Linked DNA regions of Neurospora crassa OR74A. Each later gene encodes a partner of the first gene's protein in a complex. Links are inferred from orthologs where the notes say so. Each region holds a gene or a part of one and is shown in the gene's direction. Other genes may lie near its edges.

Region 1 (4,066 bases):
TCTAAGCGATAAGACCTGTCGTTTCCACTTTAAATTTGCTTTATGGTACGCCGGCTTTACCCTATTGGAATAGGAGATTTGGATTTAGTTTAATGAGACGTAGGTAAATAGCGTTACTTAAAGCTGTTATTTCGTTACCCTTTTTAAGGATGAGAAGGTTAGCGACTTCGTTAAAATTAAAATTAGAGTTCGGGGATGGATATTTTAGATTTACTTTATAGGTAAAAAAAAGGGTACATTCCTCTTTTGGAATTATAAGGATTGGGGTACGATTACTAGCGATATTTACTAGAAGTATGTCTTCCCTTTTCTGCGGTAATTTTGGTAAGAGAATTCGTTTTTTGTCGTTATGTAAGACAATGCACTAGCTTATAGTTCGAAGTTAACGAAGGTATTTATAAAGGATGCTTTTGTTGGCGCTACTATTGTCGATTGGCCGCCCTACTCCCTTGATTTTAATTCTATTGAGAACGTTTGGGCCTTTATGAAGAGATGGATTGAGTGTGAATACCTAATTAGACTGATTGGGAATAGCTTTAAATTGGCTATCGAGAAGGCTTGGGAGGTTGTATTAGAGGACTACTTACTTTGCTTAGTATATTTAATGCCTAGAAGGCTTGAGGCGGTTATTAAGGCAAAAGGCGGGTATACCGACTATTGATTTGGCTGAGGTTACGGTTACAATTGTGGTATTTGAGAATCCCTGGTTTTAGTATGTGAAATTGATTGATTTACGGTAGCTTTGTTGTCCCTGTTCTTCCTGTGCGGGCCTCGTATGCGTAATTTGATTGGATTTATCCCTAGTCGCCTCCCTTGTCAAAACCCCTGTATGTACCGAGCTAACGAACTTTCCAGGGCTCAAGTGTACTATTCACACTACTTAGTACCTTCCCTTTCATACATGTTGCCGTTTTTGTGCGGCCAAGGGAGATGCTAAGCACTATCGTGTTGTAGTGTACACGACTAGGACACGAAGTACTGTTCAGTGCCGGTGCTATGATGTGCTTGATGCGGCTACTTCAGTTGTCATGATCGATATGATGGGAGCCCAAATGCGGCTAGTGATTTCCAACGCCACAATTTTCCACTGATGAAAGTTACCACCTGTAAGGCTCAGTGCAGTTGGTACGCGGTACGGTAAACTTAAGGCCCCGATGGTACGTACAAGCCACAGGTGATAGCCCTGCGCCCCACCTCCAAGCATGCAGTACCTTACGGAAAACACAATGTGAAAGTTTGGACAAATTGGGTCACTGCGTTGACTCATCATTGCAAGGTTTTGGTACCGCACGGCGGCCGAGGCAGGCGCATCATCAACCCCAGCTTTGAAGTTCAAACGCGCCGTTCTTGACATTGTGCAGCCCCACCTTTTTCCTTCTACCACAGTCTTCCCCGCGCTTCCCGATCCGCGGCCACTTACTCAACCAGGCCCTCGTCGACCCATTCCTGTAGAGTTCGAGCTGATAAATAGACTTCAGTTGGCAATGTCGGGCAAGCAAGTCAGCAAGGGCGGGGCTGCCAATAAGTCCAAAAAGCCCGCCAAGGGCGGCGCCGAGGAGAAGAGAGAAGATGCTCTCCAGGCCGTCATCCTCGCCGATTCTTTCCAAGATCGCTTTCAGCCTTTCGCGCTTGAAAAGCCCAGGGTAAATGCCTTCATGCTTCGTGCTAAATGCTTCGTGTCCCTTGTCCCTGGTGACCTCTGAGTACTGACGGCCTTCTCCTGACAGTGTCTCCTTCCGTTGGTCAACGTGCCCGTTATCGAATACACGCTCGAGTATCTAGCCTCCAACGGCGTCCAGGAGGTCTTCATCTACTGCGGCGCCCACTCCGAAGACGTCGAAACCTACATCCACGACTCTGACCGATGGAGCCCTGAAAGCAATCTCTGCCCCTTCTCTTCTGTCGACTTCATCCGCGTGTCCGACGCAAGCTCCATCGGTGACTTTTTGCGAGATCTTGACAAGCGCAGTCTTATCTCGGGTGACTTCATTCTGATTCATGGCGATGTTGTCGCAAACATCCCCCTCGATGGTATTCTGGCTAGGCACCGCGCAAGGAGAGAGGCCAACAGAGACGCCTGCATGACCATCGTCTTGCGCTCAACAGGAGACAGCCCTCACCGGACTGCAAAGGCCCGGGGCATTACTCCTGTCTTTGTTGTCGACCCCACCAACGGCCGTTGTCTGCAATATGAAGAGATGCACCCACTTCAGAAGGACAAGTATGTCAAGTTGGACGAGTCGGTATTCGAGTATGCTGAGTTCGACTTACGCACCGATCTGATCGATTGTGGCATCGATATTTGCACGCCAGATGTTTTGGCCTTGTGGTCCGAGAGCTTCGACTACGAGCTTCCCCGCAAGAACTTCCTTCACGGCGTACTGAAAGACTGGGAGCTCAACGGCAAGATCATCAGCGCCGAGATTCTTGAGGAAGGCTACGGGGCTCGCGCCAGCAACCTTCAGATGTATGATTGCATCAGCAAGGATATCCTCCACCGCTGGGCGCTACCGTATGTCCCCGATAGCAACCTTCTTCACGGACAAACTTACAAGTACAAACGGGGTCTGTGGTTAGAGGATGGCGCACACATCGCAAAAAACAGCACAGTAACCAAATCCGTACTAGGGAAGACCGCCTATGTCGACACCGGCAGCACAATCTCGAGCAGTATCATCGGAAGGAGGTGCCAGATCGGAAAGAACGTGAGGATAGAGAACAGCTATATCTGGGATGACGCGGTCATCGAAGACGGTGCTACTGTTCTGCATTCCATTGTAGCCAACGATGCAGTCATTGGTAAGCACAGCTACATTCCTCAAGGCTCTCTCATCTCCTACGGTGTGCGGATCAGCGCCGGAACACAACTCTCATCCAAACCCCTACCGAGAATATCCCTCTTTACCAGTGAAAGAGAGCCGGTCAAGACCGACATCAAACTGGTCGGAAACGATGGCAAGGGAGCCCAATATAAAGAGCCAGAAGACGACGAGGATAGTGACTCCGAGGATGAAGGCGATGCGGACCCCGCAGTTCTCCAAAGCTCTCTCATTTACTCTTTGGCTGGCCTCAACATTTCAAGCGAGTCCATCTCCACATTAGCGACCCATGACTCCGATGATGACCTCTCGGATGACGAGTACGAGCAAGGCCTCCAAGCCAAGACCAACCGGGAGCGCCTATCCTCCTTCGCGTCTGACGATTCCGCTGCCGCCGTCATGAAGCTCGACCAGTTTCATGGTGACGCTGTTCACGGACTTGTAGATGCCCTCCGTGCTGACGACAACGAGGATTTCGACTCTGCGAAGCTGGAGTTCATGGGTTTGAGACTGGCCAATAATGCTTCGGACAGCATGATGCGCAAGGCCATTGCCGTAGCCTTTGCCACTCGCGCCGCCGAGCTCATGAGTCCCGAAAACGGCGGTCTTGAGCCTACCAAGGCCGCTGGCCGGGCTCTTACGTCCAAGAAGGGTGCCGTCAAGTTCATTACAGAGGTTGGCGTCGGCGGAAACAAGGTCGATCTCCACGCTGAGTTTGCCCTCGCGTTGCAGAAAGCTTTGGCAGCCATTAAGGGGCTTGATTCTGCGCGCGCAGGAACGCTACTTGCCGCCATGCTGCAGCAGCTTTATAACTTGGACGTTCTCGAGGAGGAAGGTATTCTCGCCTGGTGGGCGGATGCCAGGGCTGCAGAGAATGATACACTCTCCAAGATCAAGGAGAGGAGTCGTGTGCTGGTCGAATGGCTGGAGAATGCAGATGAGGAGGATAGCAACGAAGACAGTGATGAAGAGGATGAGGATAGTGACTAGATGGGTTATCAATGGAAGTGCATGCTCAAGAGGGATGGATTATTTGGAAGAAGGAAGCAAGGGTGGAAGAACGAAAAGGGGGAGGTGTAGATGAACTTATACCCGCAGCACCTGCGACCTCGAGATATTGCTTGTGTTCTCTTTTTGGGAAGGGGAGAATGGATGGACGGGAAAATGAAGGAAAATTTGACATCCGCATACTCCTCGCTCTCAACACATCTTCCTTTGTATGAGCACGAATGCCTGTGATAATTTTA
Region 2 (4,034 bases), on another chromosome or scaffold:
CGCTTCAGCACCCCTGCTGCTTCAGACGATTTTACTTCCTCGCCTCTCAGTTGCCGCCGCGACTGCTACCATCCTCAACCAGACACGATGCCCATTCTCGACTCAAGGAGCGCTCCAGGTGAAATGGGGAAAACGAAAACCCGGTCAAGACGAGAAGAAGGACGCCGGCCTGCCCCGCGACCTGGCGATTAAAGAACCCTGGGTATACCTGCGCGGCCTCGACGGCAGGCTCACGGAGAAGCAACGGCCAGCGGACATTATCAACCGGCTGGATCGCATCCGATACAGCTTGGCGATGGTATGGGCGCCGCCTAAGCCCACGCCCGGCGAGCCCGAGCCTGAGAAAGACGAAAACCTGCCCGACTGGCCCGTGTGCGTCATCGTCGACCGCCGCGCCGAGGCCGCTGCTCTGCAGGCCAAGGCCAAGGAGGAACGCAGAAAGCAAGTGAGCAAGAAGGAGCTGGAGATCAACTGGGCAATTGCGGCGCACGACTTGGGATTCCGCACACGGCAGCTCCAGAATTTCTTGCGGAAGGGTCACAGGGTGGAAATCATGCTGCTGCAAAAGAAGGATAAGAAGCAGAAGAAGACGGCGACGCAGGAGGAGTGCCAGGAAGTGGTGCGCATGATTAGAGAGGCGGTTGCCGAGGTACCCAAGGTTCAGGAGGTGAAGCCGATGGATGGACAGGTTGGGAAGGTGGTGAGGATGGTTTTCCAAGGCCCTACGCCTAAGAAGAACAAGGAGGATGCAGCGGCTGAGGAGGAGGAGAAGGATGAGAAGGACGAATAAGCGCCGTTGGAGATGGCTAGCTTGTCGGAATACGAGGTTATATGTTGGTTTGCTTGGGTTGTTATAGAGGTCGTGCAAAGTGGGAGTATGGCGCTTTCAGCGTGCAGCTCTCAGTGCTATGTAAATATGTACAAGTATGGACCGGATCGATGTGTTACAATGCTAGATGGAGAACGGAACTCAGGTCCGACGTCTGCGTATTAATTAAAAGATAACAAACAGTTTACCGATCAAGCTGGAGGGTTGCGGGTGAGTCTCTAGCGGTGAGGCATTGACTTATAGCTGATCCGTGTGCTGTCTGCCATAGACATCTTGGGAGAGCGAGACTATATTGAATAAGTAGTATCTCAAAGTGAGGAGGCGGCTAATGAATTGTAACGAACTGGAGCAACAAGCTGAGTTCTTGAGTGACGTTGGCTAGGTTGGACGGAATCTGCGACTGGTGATTGGCTGGTATCTGACAAAAAGCGGAGCGCGGGGTGGTGTTTTTGGCGGTACGACCTCTTGGACGCATCCGTGACTCAGTTCTCAGAATCTGGCAGATGATCTTGCACTGAGCAGTTTGAGAGTTAGCATTGTGCTGACGCAACAAAACGGGAAAGAGGGAAAAAGGGACAACCATCGCTATCAGCACCCCCTGCGCATCGGTACAGTTATTTTGTATCTCAAAGCACAAACTGAGCTGTTCATTGTCTGTCACTCGAGTCCTCAGGTACTCGTCAACTCGCGACGCAATTTTTACTGCGCCCTTCACCCAATCGGATCCCATCTGATCTTTAAACAACAGTTGCGACACTTCGCCAAGCACATCGCATCTTCCACTTCATACAACAACAAATGGCTGTCGAAAACACCGGGGCTCCCGCTGGGGCTCCCGCACCACAGGAGAAGGGGAAGCAACAAGCTAAGTCCACTGTTGCCAACACACCAGCTACTACCGGAGGAGACGCCGCCGGCGAACAGAAGCTCACTCCCGCCCAGCTAAAAGCCAAGGCTAAGGCCGAGAAGGCAGCACGACGGGCAAAGGCAAAGGAAGTGAAGGAAGTCCCACCAGCGGCCGCAGTAGCAGATGCAAAGGGGGGCAAGAGCGGCAAGGGCGGCAAGCAGGAGGGTAGTCAGTCCGCGGGGTCTCAGCAACAGGGCAAATCTGTGCCCGGTCGCAGGCCGTCCGTGAACGGAAGGCGGCCTTCGGTTGCCATCATCAAGGAGGATCCGAGGAGTAGCATTCCCGAGTGCTTTAGCCATGTGGCCATGGCCAAGCGGATACAGACGTCGCAGGCGCACAAGGACGTGCACCCTGCCGTGCTGGCGGTCGGCCAGCAGATGGCTACTTTTGCGCTGAAGGATAGCATTGCCAGGCTGGAGGCGACCCTTTTGGCGTTCAAGAAGGTTGGCAACCTTGATCCCGGACTGTGTGGACTGGAGACTGACCAAACATACAATAGGTGATTGAGTCCTACGAAACACCAAAGGGAAACTCACTGTCACGCCACTTTGTCCCGCATGTCCTGAACCCCCAGATCGAGTATCTGACCGAATGCCGTCCCATGTCCTTCTCCATGGGTAACGCCATCCGCTTCCTCAAGTCCCAAGTCAACAAGTTCGACATCGACACGCCCGAGGACGAAGCAAAGGAGTCCCTCCTCGAGTTTATCGACATCTTTATCAACGAGCGCATCACCCTGGCCGAGGTGGTCATCTCCAAAAACGCTGCCGAGCTCATCGACGAGGACGGCGTCGTCCTCACGTACGGCCGCCACCGGCTGGTAGAGAAGACCATTCTGCGGGCCAAGGCCAACGGGAAAAGCTTTGCCGTGTCCGTCATTGATGACCCGTACGACCAGGGCGGCAAGGAGCTCGCCAAGACGCTACAGCAGGCCGGCATCCGCGTCTTCTACTCGCCCAACCTCGGCGGCGTGCGGGCGCACCTTGAGCGGGCGAGCAACGTGCTGCTCGGCACCGAGGCCATCTTCGCTAACGGATCTCTGCATGCCCCCGCGGGAACGGCGGACGTCGCCATGGCCGCTTCTGCCGCCAACGTCAAGGTGGTGGCCCTCTGCGAGACTATCAACTTTGACCGCGAGCGTGTGTCGGTGGACTCGCTCACCTACAACGAGATTGACCCCGAGCGATGCTCGGCTGAGTCGTTCCGGCTGATGTTTGATAACACACACAGCAAGTACATTGCGGGTGTGATTACCGAGTTTGAGAGCGGTACAGATTTCGCTCCGGCGCAGGCTATCTTGACGCTGTTAAGGAAGCGGGAGGATCCTACCATTGCTTAAACGGCAGAGTATAGGAGAGGGTGACGGTGAGATGAAGGAGATAGGCAGAAAACTGCAAGAGTTGTTAGCCGGTGGTGGCGCGCCAGCTAGGTCACAGAGCTAGAGTAGGTAAATAGAGATACCCGCATCTTAAACGGGGCTTACAACACGACCGCATAGTTTGCGGCGAAGCGAACCTGGGGCAAATAACCGAGGGAGAAGACGAAGGGAAAGGGAAAGGCAAAAACGGGAAGGGAGATCAGAGCATTGAATTCAAACGAACTCGACTGTCAAGACACTTCTTTCCCTGCTTGCTGTGTCTGCCTGTAGCATGTCTATCATGTGCTGACTTCTCTTCTTCAATAGCTGGGCGTGCCGTATAGGTCCTGTGGGTTCCCTTTCCTGCCCATCTATCTACCTGCCCTTGCGTCCCTCTTTCTCTCTTCCCCAGTGTACTGTGATTCCACGAGGTCCCACTCTCAGACTTCCCCATCCCATTTCGGCGTCCATCGATGTCGGTTATCCTTCTCCCTCGCCCCGTACCGTTTTACCGGGAACTTTGAGAATCCGTATCAGCCCTTTTAATGCGCCGCCGCCTCGGGTTCACCGTGGGCCTGCTCCTGCTGCCGCGCCGCCCTCCGCGCCCTCTTGTCGAGAATGGCCTGCTTGCGCTCCTGAAGTATAGCTTGCTGTCGCTCGTCCACTCCCTGAACCCAATAGCCGAAGCTGGCGCCAATGGCCGCGAAGACGGGGTAGCCCCAGAGGGTGTTCCTGCCGAGGATGGGTCGTCGCTCGATGCCCAATGACCAGGCGCGGGTAGCCAAGCCTGAAGGAGCAGAGTTGGAAGGCGGCAGTTAGCGATTATGATGTGGACATGAAGATGGAGAGAGGGGGAGAGAGAGAGTCAAGAGAGTAAGACAGATAGGCCAGGAATATGGGCGTTTGTGACAGCATGTGGAGTATCAATTGGTGGAGGATTG

What was found. Proteins that work in one complex are often made in the same cells at the same time.
Region 2: the proteins of NCU02414 (region 1) and NCU01468 are in contact, whole or in part, in a crystal structure (PDB 5B04), measured with the Schizosaccharomyces pombe proteins. The link is inferred for Neurospora crassa OR74A from reciprocal best matches to the Schizosaccharomyces pombe genes tif225 and tif224. Residues at the interface, in NP_594285.1 of Schizosaccharomyces pombe: Lys267, Glu268, Tyr308, Arg310, His311; in NP_594503.1 of Schizosaccharomyces pombe: Arg295, Tyr331, Ile332, Gln334, Glu335, Glu410, Lys412.

Annotation. Positions count from the first base shown.
Region 1 is NC_026507.1:2,573,190-2,577,255, reverse strand, and holds the start of NCU02414 (translation initiation factor eif-2b epsilon subunit), read left to right. Parts: upstream 1-1,262; 5' UTR 1,263-1,484; coding exon 1,485-1,643; intron 1,644-1,727; coding exon 1,728-3,809; 3' UTR 3,810-4,066. UniProt on the Schizosaccharomyces pombe protein: Acts as a component of the translation initiation factor 2B (eIF2B) complex, which catalyzes the exchange of GDP for GTP on the eukaryotic initiation factor 2 (eIF2) complex gamma subunit.
Region 2 is NC_026505.1:4,638,660-4,642,693, forward strand, and holds NCU01468 (translation initiation factor eIF-2B subunit delta), read left to right. Parts: upstream 1-1,312; 5' UTR 1,313-1,627; coding exon 1,628-2,179; intron 2,180-2,235; coding exon 2,236-3,075; 3' UTR 3,076-3,530; downstream 3,531-4,034. Other genes in the region: NCU01469 (hypothetical protein), read left to right, coding at 1-790; nuo10.4 (NADH:ubiquinone oxidoreductase 10.4kD subunit), read right to left, coding at 3,636-3,880. UniProt on the Schizosaccharomyces pombe protein: Acts as a component of the translation initiation factor 2B (eIF2B) complex, which catalyzes the exchange of GDP for GTP on the eukaryotic initiation factor 2 (eIF2) complex gamma subunit.